2 linked regions of the Neodiprion lecontei genome follow. The protein of the gene in region 2 purifies or fractionates together with the protein of the main gene of each other region. This does not show direct contact. Links are inferred from orthologs where the notes say so. Each region holds a gene or a part of one and is shown on either strand. Other genes may lie near its edges.

The links.
Region 1: the proteins of DNA fragmentation factor subunit beta (region 2) and DNA fragmentation factor subunit alpha fractionate together in Drosophila melanogaster (co-fractionation; 3 studies listed by BioGRID, with this or other methods). This does not show direct contact. The link is inferred for Neodiprion lecontei from reciprocal best matches to the Drosophila melanogaster genes Drep4 and Drep1.

What each region holds. Positions count from the first base shown.
Region 1 is NC_060264.1:25,801,739-25,809,542, reverse strand, and holds the start of DNA fragmentation factor subunit alpha, read right to left. Parts: upstream 6,001-7,804; 5' UTR 5,982-6,000; intron 5,687-5,981; coding exon of another isoform or gene 5,631-5,686; exon of another isoform or gene 5,599-5,630; coding exon of another isoform or gene 5,597-5,598; exon of another isoform or gene 5,539-5,596; intron 5,400-5,538; exon of another isoform or gene 5,381-5,399; intron 5,269-5,380; exon of another isoform or gene 4,829-5,268; coding exon of another isoform or gene 4,430-4,828; intron 3,956-4,429; coding exon of another isoform or gene 3,851-3,955; intron 3,781-3,850; coding exon of another isoform or gene 3,659-3,780; intron 3,588-3,658; coding exon of another isoform or gene 3,413-3,587; intron 3,319-3,412; coding exon of another isoform or gene 3,235-3,318; intron 3,094-3,234; coding exon of another isoform or gene 2,881-3,093; exon of another isoform or gene 1,812-2,880; intron 1,507-1,811; 5' UTR 1,506-1,506; coding exon 1,328-1,505; intron 1,252-1,327; coding exon 939-1,251; intron 850-938; coding exon 729-849; 3' UTR 1-728. Other genes in the region: D-beta-hydroxybutyrate dehydrogenase, mitochondrial, read left to right, coding at 2,881-3,093, 3,235-3,318, 3,413-3,587, 3,659-3,780, 3,851-3,955, 4,430-4,828; protein JTB, read left to right, coding at 5,631-5,686, 6,001-6,240, 6,339-6,501; glutathione S-transferase C-terminal domain-containing protein homolog, read left to right, coding at 6,635-7,804.
Region 2 is NC_060263.1:37,513,112-37,518,241, forward strand, and holds the start of DNA fragmentation factor subunit beta, read left to right. Parts: upstream 1-2,095; 5' UTR 2,096-2,467; coding exon 2,468-2,542; intron 2,543-2,632; coding exon 2,633-2,734; intron 2,735-5,130.

The sequences.
Region 1 (7,804 bases), on a different chromosome or scaffold from region 2:
CAAAGGGTACTAAGATCGGTTTATGGATCGAACAGCTAATTTTAGTGGAGCGAAATTTGTGATCTAAATGGGGGATGAAACTTTACTTACCTCTCAATATAATGAAATTCAGTCTTAAACATTTCATAAAACTTGGTATCAACTAAAACCTATCTCTTATAGAAATACAATGTGTAATAAACATTTATAAAAATCATATATAATCCTAATCCTTGGGCCAATATCGATGTGGCTACCTTGCAAGGAAATTATTTTTACGCTCTAGCCTCGGCAGCGGTGGAATGATACTTTACTGGATATTTTGCAAAGGGTCAGTATACTATAGCCGATTAATTCCTAACGCAATTCTATGTAGGGTATGTTTACCTACACGATTGTGTGCAAAGTTGCAATTATTTATTCTCTCCGATAAAAGACGTACGATACCTGTAATGCAGAAGGTATGCCAAATATTATGAGCGTGTATTATAAGCTGTGATCATCCATTAATCATTACGTAGGACATAAAAATTGCCCATCATTCAGTCGGCAGATATCTATACACGTATGAATCACAGAAACTTTACTCCCTTCCTTCTGCCCCATATTCATTGGGTAATTTGACATGGAACTTCGGCTCAATTCCAGATGAAAATCATCGTTTGCTGAATGTGACGTCCCTTGTATATGAGACGTCTTCGAATGCGGTACATGTTTGCCAGTGTGAGGGTGCCGACCCCCCACATGGCCTACGCCCGCTCCATCTCTCCTCCGCTTGCATACATCTGCAATAGTGCCATTGATTCCTGCGCCTGTCGTTTCTCGGCTAAAAATCTTCCTGACGCCTCCTTCAGTTGCTCCAGGAATATCCTGCAGAAATTTTTTTCAAACACTCAACAGACTGCCCACATAATCACCCAACATGTTCTCTCTTCCCAAAAACTTCACCCATCCCTCACCTGTCAGGCACAATGTCTGCTAGACTTTCCGGATCCATATCACTTAGCAGTTCCAAGTCGTTTCCACCTAATAGCGAAATGTGGGTTGGATCTCCACGCAGTGAGGAGACCAGCGGCTTGATCTGTGCCCCATTCCCACGTTCCCTCCTTCTTGATGTTCCTTCTTTTCCACTATCCGTATCATCCAGCAGAACATAGCGTGATGTACTAGCTGAGCTTCCAGCAGCTGACCATCTTTGATGGCCACACAGGACCATCAAGCTTGTATTTCTCTCAAGCGTAGCAAAGTATTCTTCGTCGTCTACCTCGGTACCTGCGCAATTCACACTTCATTAAGGTTGTCAATCACCAGATAATCGATATTTACAATCTAAAATAACAATACTTACCATCCTGTTCCAAAACAATGGTCAGGTGCTCTTCTTGTGGCAAGTCAAATCGGTTTCTAGCTATGGCAGTGAGTTCTTTTAGTGACGAGGCTGTAATGCCCTTGCGTCTTTCTCTCGCATGATCAATTATCTTATACGGGGAAGCTGTTGCTTGTACTGCCCCTGCAGTGTCTGACATCCTGAAATTAGATTGGCGTTGTATAAATGTCATGAAAATAAAATGTTCTGATAAGCCATAAGAATTCACACAGAGTTTCTTTCATTGCTTAGTCTTATTGGAAGTATAGTATAATAATTTCTTGATATATATTTGTAATGAAAAATTCAAGAATCTAGAAAGCTGTTTGGATAAAATTATATCATTGAAAAACGTGTTTGGAACATATCCTTTCAATATATCCTTATTCAAAGTGGCTCTCAATCGTTTTTTCACAAAGTGTTTAATGTTGATAGATAGATTGGGTCTTATAATGGTTTTCCTTACCTTGTTTTATTTATATCACCAGAGATATGATATCAATATTAAAATTACCAAAGTGATTGTTTAGAACACAGTCGAATTATGGGTCTTTCACGTTCAACTTTTTACTCGATAATCACTTGGGTGAAATCACAGTGATAAACTGTAAATATATGTAAGGATAATATGACACTATTAGGCAATGAAACTTTCTCAATTAATTTTGAGCAAACTTCTGTTTAACAGGGTATTTTAATAGGATGACAATACGCAATTTGGTGAGCACTGTATGAATACTGAATGTAGGCAAAAGAGGGTGGAATCCGAATGCAATCTCTTAAGCTGTTCGCTGGCTATGGTGGTTGTCAGTGGTGTGGCAATTCAATATGATTATATCACTACTGTACAGACGTAGAGTAAAAAAGAAAGTATCATTTGTTGGCCACTGAACCGACTTTGCACCAACTGAACACTGGGTCAATGGTGTAACCACCCTTCCTATTTATACACTCAGTACTCTCTGTATATACATAGAATAACCAGACAGGCAACTCCTCCCTTTACCAACATGGCACCCAGACTGAAATCAATAATAGTGACCTCAGATCTGCAAGTGCATGGTGGAGGATCTCCTTTTTTCTTTTCTTTTTTAAACGCTGTTTTGCTCTCCACTTTCGTTTCAGATGTATTATACATTTTTTCAATTTTGAACTTCATAGGTGGGACACTTTGGCTTCAAGATTGAGGATAATCATAAGTTTTTGTGAATAGCAAATATGAAGTTTGATTAGTTGATGGGATTTCTACGTCAATGCATTTACTATTGGAGCAGAGTCCAATTTTAATAGAATTAAATGATTCACCTATATCTACATGTATTTTGAGGAATATAAAAAACATGCTGAGGCATACTCGGGCCTTGGGTACCTACATCGCTGCAGGGGATAAATTTAGCCGAATGAGACTAGACAGCGTATCAAGTTTAAAGTTAGCCTGGGCTTAGTCCAGTTCAGGCATCTAGGTGAGCTCTGGCTAGCGTTTAGTAAACTAGTTCAATTATTAAGTATCCATATTGAAATTAAATAAGGGTGTGATGCCACAAACTTTGAATAAACCACCCGAGGACAGCCAGGCGTGGGAGTTGTTAGAACGATGTCTTTTGCCATTCGTATTCTCACACGCGGTTGCAGTTATCGTTGCCACGATTCTCAACACTTTCGGTATTTCGCAGATATCTAGTTTTGTACTGTTTCTTCTATTTCTCAGCGTATCTCTCGGCTCTACTTTATTCTATCACAATCTAAAGGTAAACTATCACACTTGCCTAACAAAGAGAAATAAAGTCAATTATTCAAAGTGAAATATCCGCAAGTTTAACGATTGAGGCCATAATAGCGACATCGCTACGTATTACTAAATACAGTGATGAAGAAAATTATTATCATAGGTAACTGCGGCTGGAAAGGCAATATTGATAACAGGATGTGACTCCAGGGTAGGAAATGCTTTGGCGAAGCAGCTGGACGACTTGGTATATAAAAATAAAAACCTACAAAATATCGATATGCACAATCATTACAATGATAACTCGATAATAATATGTCCATTGTTAAATATCTTTCAAGGGGTTCACAGTTTTTGCGACTTTTTCAAACAAGAACGAGAACAATGAGATAGCGTGCAAACTAAAAGATCAATGCTCAGGAAGACTGCGTGTTCTGCAACTGGATGTAACAAGCGAGCGTGATATCCATTCAACTTTCCTCTACGTCAATGAGCACTTGCCCGACGGAGCTCCAGGTAAATAGACCAGCCAGAGTTACGTTACTTAGTCTGAAAAAGTCAAATCAAGCATTCCAATTTAATTATAGGTTTGTGGGGTTTGGTACATGCTGACGCCTGGGTGGCGCTAGGAGAATGTGAGTGGATTCCATCTTCGGTGCTAAAGCGTAGCGTGGAAGTTAACTTCATTGGAGTATCGAGACTGACGCAGGTAAAAACATTTGTACAACAAGTTTGCTAAACTATGACACTTGCATATTATTATTTTTATCGTGCAATAGGTATTCCTTCCACTAGTGAGACGCTCTAAGGGACGCGTTATACTTGTAGGAAGCCTTTTCGCAAGAATCCCAAGCCCAGTGCGAGGGATACATTGTGCAGTAAAGGTAAGAAGACCGGAGGTGACAAACTCGGTTGTGCATAATGAATTGCAATAGGTTTTTAAAATTATTACTCTGAACACCGGCTACTTTGATAAGGAAGCGCAAATTTGAAATCAGGATAAAACTGTACGCTATCTGACTAATGGAAATTCATAGTATTTTTTATTTTGGTTTGTGAATCTGTAAAGGCGCTAGTTTCTGTATGTGTTCCGAGGTCTCTAAAGCAGCTCAACCCCTTGCTATGCTTTTTTTTATTTCATGTACGTTATTCATTGAGAATAGTTTTAGTACATATTTTATGACAATATGATTGAAGCACAATACTTGAATTTTTCCCAAATATTTTATGTAATCTGCGCAAGAGTATATCGTGGGGAACTGAAAATCAACTGATTTTGTTTATAGACCGTATATTTTCTCCGAAAAAAAAACTGTACTACTGCACGTAGGTCCCTAAAATATGCAAAAAACTTACAGGCAGCGGTAGAGGCATGGGGAAATTGCTTACGTTTGGAAATGCGGAGATGGGGTGTGGATGTTGTTATAGTTGAGACCGGGGAATATGTGTCGGGCAGTGCCTGGCTGAAAGACAATGCCTCTCTGCTGGAGCAGGCAAGAGATATGTGGACACAGCTCGACCCCCAAACACGGCGTGAGTATGGTCAAGAATTATTCCAAAAGGAGATGATTGCCTTAGAGAGATACACGCTTGGTCCGGAGGCGGATCTGACTCAAACTACCAGAGCTTTGACCGACGCTACAGTGAGAACGTTCCCATTGAGGCGATACATGCCTGTGTCTCGTGGAGAGAGAATAAGAGCGCTACTAAGTGATCACCTGCCAAAACCTATATACGACATACTATACACGGATTGAATGGTTCGTAAATCAATTGCAGATCTGTTCCTTTAGTTTGTTGCTCATTTCTCCTATTTAATCGAAGAGAAAAAGAAATTTATGATATTCTGGCAGTCAATGAAATCCCTTGAAATGATTACTGTATATATATTGACTTGATGTATTTTCATAGTTGATCGTTCGAACACATTTCAAGGCTTTATAAATAAATGGGCGTACCATCAAGGCATACGATTTATTGTCCCCCTCCCACGCTCGAAAAAACCGTCTGCGCAATAAATATCGTATCTCCTCCACCCGCAGTCTACACTCAGTTTTTTTGGTGAGGACGTTGTGCTCAGTTTTTGCGCTCTTGGCTAGAATGACAGGAATGACAGGTTCGTTTCAAGATCAGTTCTCGGTCAAAGAGATTCTCGGCCTCTCCGCAGATGGCGTTATTTTTAAAACAGCGTAGATGATCCCCGTCGCTGAATGAAGATGTATGAAGACTGGTAGCTCAGCGTTATTTTTCGAAATGATTTACCGGATCTGAGCGGGTTTGGGGGTAAATTCTACGACTCTGCCACTTACCGACTCGTCTTGTGGGATCCCAATGTTGAATAAAATTGGTATTGCAGAATACTGCAATTTTCGGCATTCTTTAAGGATACTGACGAACTGTGATGCAATCAAGGCACACTGCATTGCGGGTAACGAAGGGTTCTGTCTTATCCATTATTCGTCGAATTCGGAGGGTGAGTTAACGTGAGTCATAACCTCACCTCGTCGATCGACGTACGCATTTCAATGTAAATCCATCAGTTTTTGAATTTATATTACAATGATCGAGTCGTGTACAAAAAAGCGGATGCTCATAGCCGTCACTTTTTTAGGAGGGTCTGTTCTCATTTCTATCAATAACACTTATCAGCTTGAAAATTCATACCCACGTTTTCAGTTGCTGTAAACCACTAGCGATAATAACCTAAGAGTGGATTTTCTCTTTTAATATTAGTTCAGTATCAGTACCCTGATTAACGATATTTTCAAAATTGTTATCGTTCGCATTGTTGACCAATAAAAATGTGTCATCATTTTTGCGCAAAGCTATGTAGCGTGATCCCCATTTTTTGCTTATATATACATGTATATAACCATACTGTAACTTTTGCAAGAGATGTGTTGTACTTACAAAAAAACATTTCTTCCAGGTTGACGATACTCGTCTTGATTATTGAAAGCAATTGGACAGACACGGACAGCAGCAAGGCATTTGTAGAGTCTGTCGAAAAGAATTCGAGCTGTTATCTCAATGAAGAATTTGATGTGATATTAGAGTGTCATCCGTGTACAGCTTTCGAAATAGCGAGCGAAAGCATCGGCGTCTGCATTCATACAAGCAACAAGGAAGTGTTGAAATGTCGCAAGAGTGGTATAACTGTAACCAGAAGGTAAGGATTGTTATTATGATTGTTTTCATGATTTGTGATAACTCCACATTTTACTTGAACTGGTTCATTTATCTTTTTACATTTTGTACTCTTTTCAGTTGTGATAAAGTTGCTTGGCTGGAGGAGCGCAGTTTCTGGAGATTTGAAGGCCTTATGTTTGGTCTCGCTGTCTTATCTTGCATCAGCGTCTACTGGAGGGAGAACATCTTGCGGCAAAGAATAGTCAGAAAAGTGGCTAGACAACTCAGAGCTAGTGTGTAGATTGGCGGTACCGACCAGCTCAGGTTCTGAAAAAAATATAAAATTCACATAGTATAATTTGAACTGCATTTCTGTAGCATTCAGACTTTCAAGAGTTGTGACACTATCGTACACGATATAAAAAAAAAGGACTATGGAAACCAACCAGCTTTTCCTGGAGGTTCATTCCATTGCAGATTTGTGCCTCGCCCCGATAGAGACCATAATAACATTGTTCACGATAAAATACTGTGATTCTCGCGTATCGATTAACTTGGTTGTAACAAAAAAAACACGCAATGAGGAACGGTCTAATTTTATTGATCTGTCCGGGTTTACTTACACAGTTATGGAAGTAGACAAATTACCACGATATGCGAGTACGTGCGACCTTCCAAACGTAATAGTTAACGAGACGACATGTGTGGCTGGGCTCTGCGCGACCCTACGTCAAATAGTAAAAAGTAGGTGTTTTGAAACGCCATTGCACTACAGCAAAGCCTTACTAGGATTTAAGGATGCATGTTTGCTGGCCTGCTCGGAGTCGAGTATCTGGACAAAGTTTTGCGAGGTGGATTTAATCTCGACCCTGAAATCTATCCATGGTCAAACTTCAAGTAGCGATACGAATGAGATTCCTGAAAGCATCGCAAGATTTGAATGTCATATGTCGCAGCCAGTGAGATTGCACAATTTGTACAAGTATACAATGTCGAAAAAATTTTCCATCAATGGCACTATGACGGGTAACAGGGATAAAATACCAGAACACATTTATGCGGAGGGATCTCAAATCACATTGGCGGATATCATAATATTTGTCTGCATCCACACATTTTTTACACTCCACGCATTGAGATGTGAATTGTTAGAACTCATACCACTGACAGCAAAGTGGTACACGAGGATGCTTTCGAGTGAAATGATATCTGAAAGTTTGAGATGTTTAAGACACTTGGAATCTCCGAGCTTTGAGAACCGGGTTACCAGCTATGTTCTTCCCGACGTTGAAAACCATAGCCTGTATAAGAGCGATCCAAAGCGATACAAGCCTCGTAATCGCATTTACACAAAGCAAGTTGACATAGATGATTCATTTGCATTAATCAGTGAGCTAGGCATCAGCATCGAGCTTGCATCGGAACCGTTTGGATCGGAAATGACATTGAACTGGGATGAAATCCCGTTTGAAGCAACGCCAGAGGGAGGTGCATTGCCCGAAACGAGACTGAAGCGTAAGTTTGAGCAGTTAGAAAATTTGTGCAGGCCTGTAATGGCATTGGCAAAAATAGGGGATGTAGTCGTCGACTTCTGCTCTGGCGGA
Region 2 (5,130 bases):
TATTAATGCGGTAAGTTCAAGAAAATTACGATTTTTTATATACGAAAACTTTGACGCACGATTGCTCGGTTTTTCATTTTTACGATTTTTCCTAATTGGCGGGAAAGATACGGAAAAAACTAAACGTCCTATCGAAACGAGACAAATTGCATTCTACTCGGGATTAAATTCTTTTCTAGTTGAACCTAAAAAACTTTAAGAAAGTCAAGATTAACCCACTTTTTAAACAATCTAAAGTGAATTTTTTTTTTAATTTGCGAAAAATTGTTGAATTTTTCACTTTTTGTTGAATTTTCTTGGTTTAACTAGAAACTATACTATTGAGAAGTAAAAATTTTTTTGGGTTCTTTGTTTCAGACGGAAATTGCGACCTGCACCTTTCCCGCCGCACGACAAATGCACACTCGAGACGCCTCGGTGAAATGCTTGTACCAGGCATAATATGACATGTATCCTAATGAAAAAATTCGAGAAGACTGTTGAAATACATAACAATAAACCCTGAAAGTTTCGTTTCAATCGGATATTTCTTTCCTTCCCAAAAAAATCCTCGAAAAAACCGATTTTTTAAAGCCTCTAAAGCAGGCTCCCCCCCTTAAACTGTCGTATTAGATTAAAGCAAATTAGTAAATGCGGGTTTTTCTTTTTCTTATTTTTCGTGAACTCGAATTCTACAGTAAAATACTAACTATTACATTTGACGGTAGAATTTTGGAATCAAGTTTAATTATATTTTATACCGAGGACATTGAACAAATCAAACTCACAATCAGTGCAATTGACATGGTGAAATTTTTCAGGCTAGACTTATTGCACTCGATTGAATTCTGTTTGTTTTCATTGTAAAATGATTAATTCAAATATTTGATCATTTATTTGATTTACATAATATTAATCGAACGCGTTACACTGATTATTTATCTGAACTGCAAAGTTTTATCGTATATGTAACAATAATCGATATACTTGGAATGACCTTTAAATAATTCGACGAACTTGTCATATTACCGGTTCAAAACTAATTCATCAATATTTATAATTAAACTTTCTGATGTTCCGATTTCGTCGATTCGAACGAAATGGGAGTCCAAAAAAAAAAAAACAAATATTTAAATAAAGATGCGATAAAACGAGTATTTAAGAACTCCCATCTAAGCGAATTTAAATAAAGTTAGAATATTGAATCAAATTGTCACGATTCTGAATATCGAATGTTTTTAAGCAATAACTGGTGAGGTCAGGAATCTCATATATAAATAAAATGAGCTACAATTATTATCAAACGGTAAGAAATGTTAATAATAAAATAGCGTGATTTTTCCGACTTCGTTATAATTGAAATTAGGTGTCTTAAAATTTTCCTCTGTACGACAAGAGATCTTTTCTTTTTATAAACTTATTTTGAATTACATCGAACCCGACCTACACTGAGAGAAATTTTTAGTTCCGGTTACCGCTCGGTCCTTAAATATTTTTATTTTTTACCACAATCGAAAAATATAGTTTTAGGTACAAAATGAAAATTAGTTTTCCAGCTGTTACCAGAAAGTCTAGTATCCGTAACTATTCTTTCTCATTACTACCACTGTTGCTGTATTTTTTTGCAACTGTTGCGAAAGTTTAATTCTCGTGCAAGAATAAATTGACGTTAAAGCCTTGTTTGACTAAAAAAGTAGAGTAAACCTCTCAGAAGCTGATTTTGCGCTGCGATAAGCAAAAAAGGATCGACGATAGCGCAAAATGTTTACGCGTACCTCGTTTTTCGCAATTCCAACAATATTCAAACAGATTTTTTTTTCAAGGATACCCGTTTTACTGAATTTTTCTGGTTACTGTAACAAATGAAATTTTTCTCAGCGTACGTCCAGCTGCATTATTCGTTATTAATAGTAATTAACAATAAGATAGAGAGGAATTTTTTATTTATCCCCAATATGCCAATAATATGGACCGCATAAAAAGCACGAGTATTCGTTCGAAAATCGCGACGCGTTCGAGCGACTTTTGCACGCTGTGCGAGTTTTGCAGGCTAGCAGGGAAAAACGCAGTCGCGCAACGCGACTGCGCAGAGATAAAAGAGGATCGACGATTCCTCTCCAGTCTCTCCTGGGCTCTCCTGGCGTCGCGGCGTCCGTCGCTCGTCGGCGGATCCGTCGGATCATGAACTAGTCGAAGCCCCTCTTAAATTCGGCATCCGGTTCCGTTCGTCGCGTTCCGAAGATCGTTTCAAATTTCCGATGTGAAAAATACTCGGTACGAACGATCCGCGGAGCGATTAACAAGAGTCAGGTTTGGTTGGGACGCGTCTCGCAGGAAGCGAACAGCTGTTCGTAGTGCGTATCGGGCCACGCGTCGTTCGTAGACTCGGCGTCGGTAAGCAGTTTCCTAACTTACCGAGCGGCTCGGTTTTTCCCCGTTTCTTCCCGTTCTTCGCTACTTTCTCGATCGGAACTCTGCGGGAAAGAACATGTCCGTCATCGTTGATCGGCTCCGTCGCGTAATGAAAGGCGAAGACTCTCGGCCGGTTAACGATGAGAAAGAGGTGATTTAAAACGGTCGCTAAAAAAATTTACATCACTGTATTTGTGATTTACATTACTGACTGGTATTGTTCTTTCAACCTTTTTTTCAGATCAAGGGATACCGAGTGACAAATGCCGATCGCACTCGGAGATTCGGAGTCGCTTGCAAGGATTTTCAGGAGCTTAAAAGCAAGGCCTGCGCAAAGTTTAATGTGAGTTGTATTTTATAATTTGTCGTATCGTTGATCCGTGCTAAACACTTAACGCCAACTTAATCGAGCCGGGAAATTACCGGATGATCGTTAAATCTGATCGGTTACAAGTGTTCGGGTCGAGTTCCGAATGCAAGTTTTTGTTTTTAGTCAAAACTCGGCGGAAAATTAGTTTACTGTTACCGAAAAGTCTAGTATCCGTTACTGTTCTTTCTCATTACGATCACTGTTGCTATATTTTCTTGCAACTGTTGCGAAAATTTAACGCTCGTGCAACGATAAATTGACGTTAAAGCCTTGTTCAACTAAAAAAGTAGAGTGAAACCTCAGAAACTGATTTCGCGTTGCGATAACCAAAAAACCATCGACGATAGCGCAAAATGTTTACGCGTACCTCGTTTTCCGTAATCCCAACAATATTCAAACAGTTTTTTCAACGATACCTGTTTTACTGAATTTTTCTCGTTACTGTAACAAATGAAAATTCTCTCAGTGCAGTTTCCATAAAGGATCACTCTTCCGAGTGTCGATATTTCTTTGTAAACACGTTTTTTTCCCCCCTCCGCTAACAAATTCTCATCAGCATAAGATGAATATTGAGAGACTAGAGATTACGCGATCACGTCCCAGCTTCCTCCCCCGCATTCGGGTGACGCCTGATGCAACCGCAATTGCAAGTGCATAAGCCCGGCCGGATTTGCAGTTGCCGGCTTTATCGAGTGGTCCAAGACCCCAGCGTCGATGCTCTCATTTTTCCAACCCCGTCAATGTAGCTGCACGTGGAACTAGGAACATCCGCTTCCGGTTGCGCGAGTCTCGGTCAAGGTCGATTACATCGACGAATCATCTCCGTCCGCCTAACGAACCTCTGCAAATTCGATTTCAACGTTTCCCCCGAAACTGGGTCACCAGCCCCTTTCTGCCCCACCAAGCGTTGATCCTGGTTTTTCGTTTCTGCCCTTGATTTTCAAAGATTTTCCTCAAAGGACAATTTTCACACCGAGGGAAAGATTCGATTTTTTCTTTTTTACGAGATTTGAATGGTTGCTACGTTCGATAACATACATTTAAATATATATATATTTTATGAATAAATAGGTGATGGGGAAGTTTTATTCGATCACTATTTTTTCCAATTATCGTTTTTAAAGGGAGGTAAAAAACACGATTCAATTATTTTTTAAATACGTGTAATACACTTTATGCATGTGCATCTACACGTAAAACTGAAACTTTTCTTTCGTGAAATTTAACCAGTATGGATTTGCTTGATTCGAATGAAACGCGATTGAATTTAAAAAATTCCCCGTGTTCAAGTTGTTCCTTAATTTATTTATTTATTTGATTTTTTTTTTTTTTATTTTCACTAGGAACAAGTAAATATCGTTCAAGGATTATTCAGACAATTAAAAACCTGTAATCACCTACCGAAAGATTTTTTTAATACGATTTAAATTGACTCATATAATGTAGAACGTAAAAATTACCCTGATTAAGATAATCTTATTCGAATTCATTAGTCAATTTTGTTGATTCACAAAGCCATAAATTTTTCGAAACGCCATTAGACTTGCCTCGATCCTCTAGAAAATTTATCAGGAGCAAGTCAGTCTTATTCGATCCAAACAAACAAATATCTAATTATAGAATGAAGAAAACAAGGAAGAACAAGCAAACATATATTTGCTTGTAAAAGACATAATTTTCATTTCAGTATAAAAACGATGAACAAGATTTATTTATTTATTTTCGAGTTTCATCAGGCTTTGTTTTCTGTAATCAATAAATTTTGTGTTTTGTTTTAAGTTTGTTTTTTCGCAACCGATCAACATCGCTGATTAAACAACCTGTCCGATCACTTCGGTTTGTTTTTACATCCGCGTTTCTAATTCATTGTAATTCCTCTTATTTATCAGCCAGTTATGATTTGTTATGTTCCGATTTTTTTTTTTTTTTTGTCACTCGTCCAATGTTTATACCGGAACGAAATACCGGATAGAAATTGACAAAAAAAAAAAATAACAGGAAACGAAAATAAGGAGATTGAAAATTAAGCCAGACATTGACCGTCTCGTAAAATCAACGAATTATATTATCAGACAATAATTTATTCTATCGATTCTTCTGACTTCTAAGTGGTATATGTATCATACGTTATATCATGCAAATGATCATCGAGTTTGAGTTTAACGACGAGTTAGAGACTTAAAACTTTAAACATAGCTCAGAACTTGATGCCAATGCAATATTATTCGTTGATTTGAAATAATGAGAAAAAAATAATTCGATTAGCTTCGACTGAGATTAGATCTCGAATATTCTACACACAGAATATTAAAAAGCAGAAAACAATTATTTAAACAATTTTTTTTTTTTTTTTTTTTTTTTATTCCAAA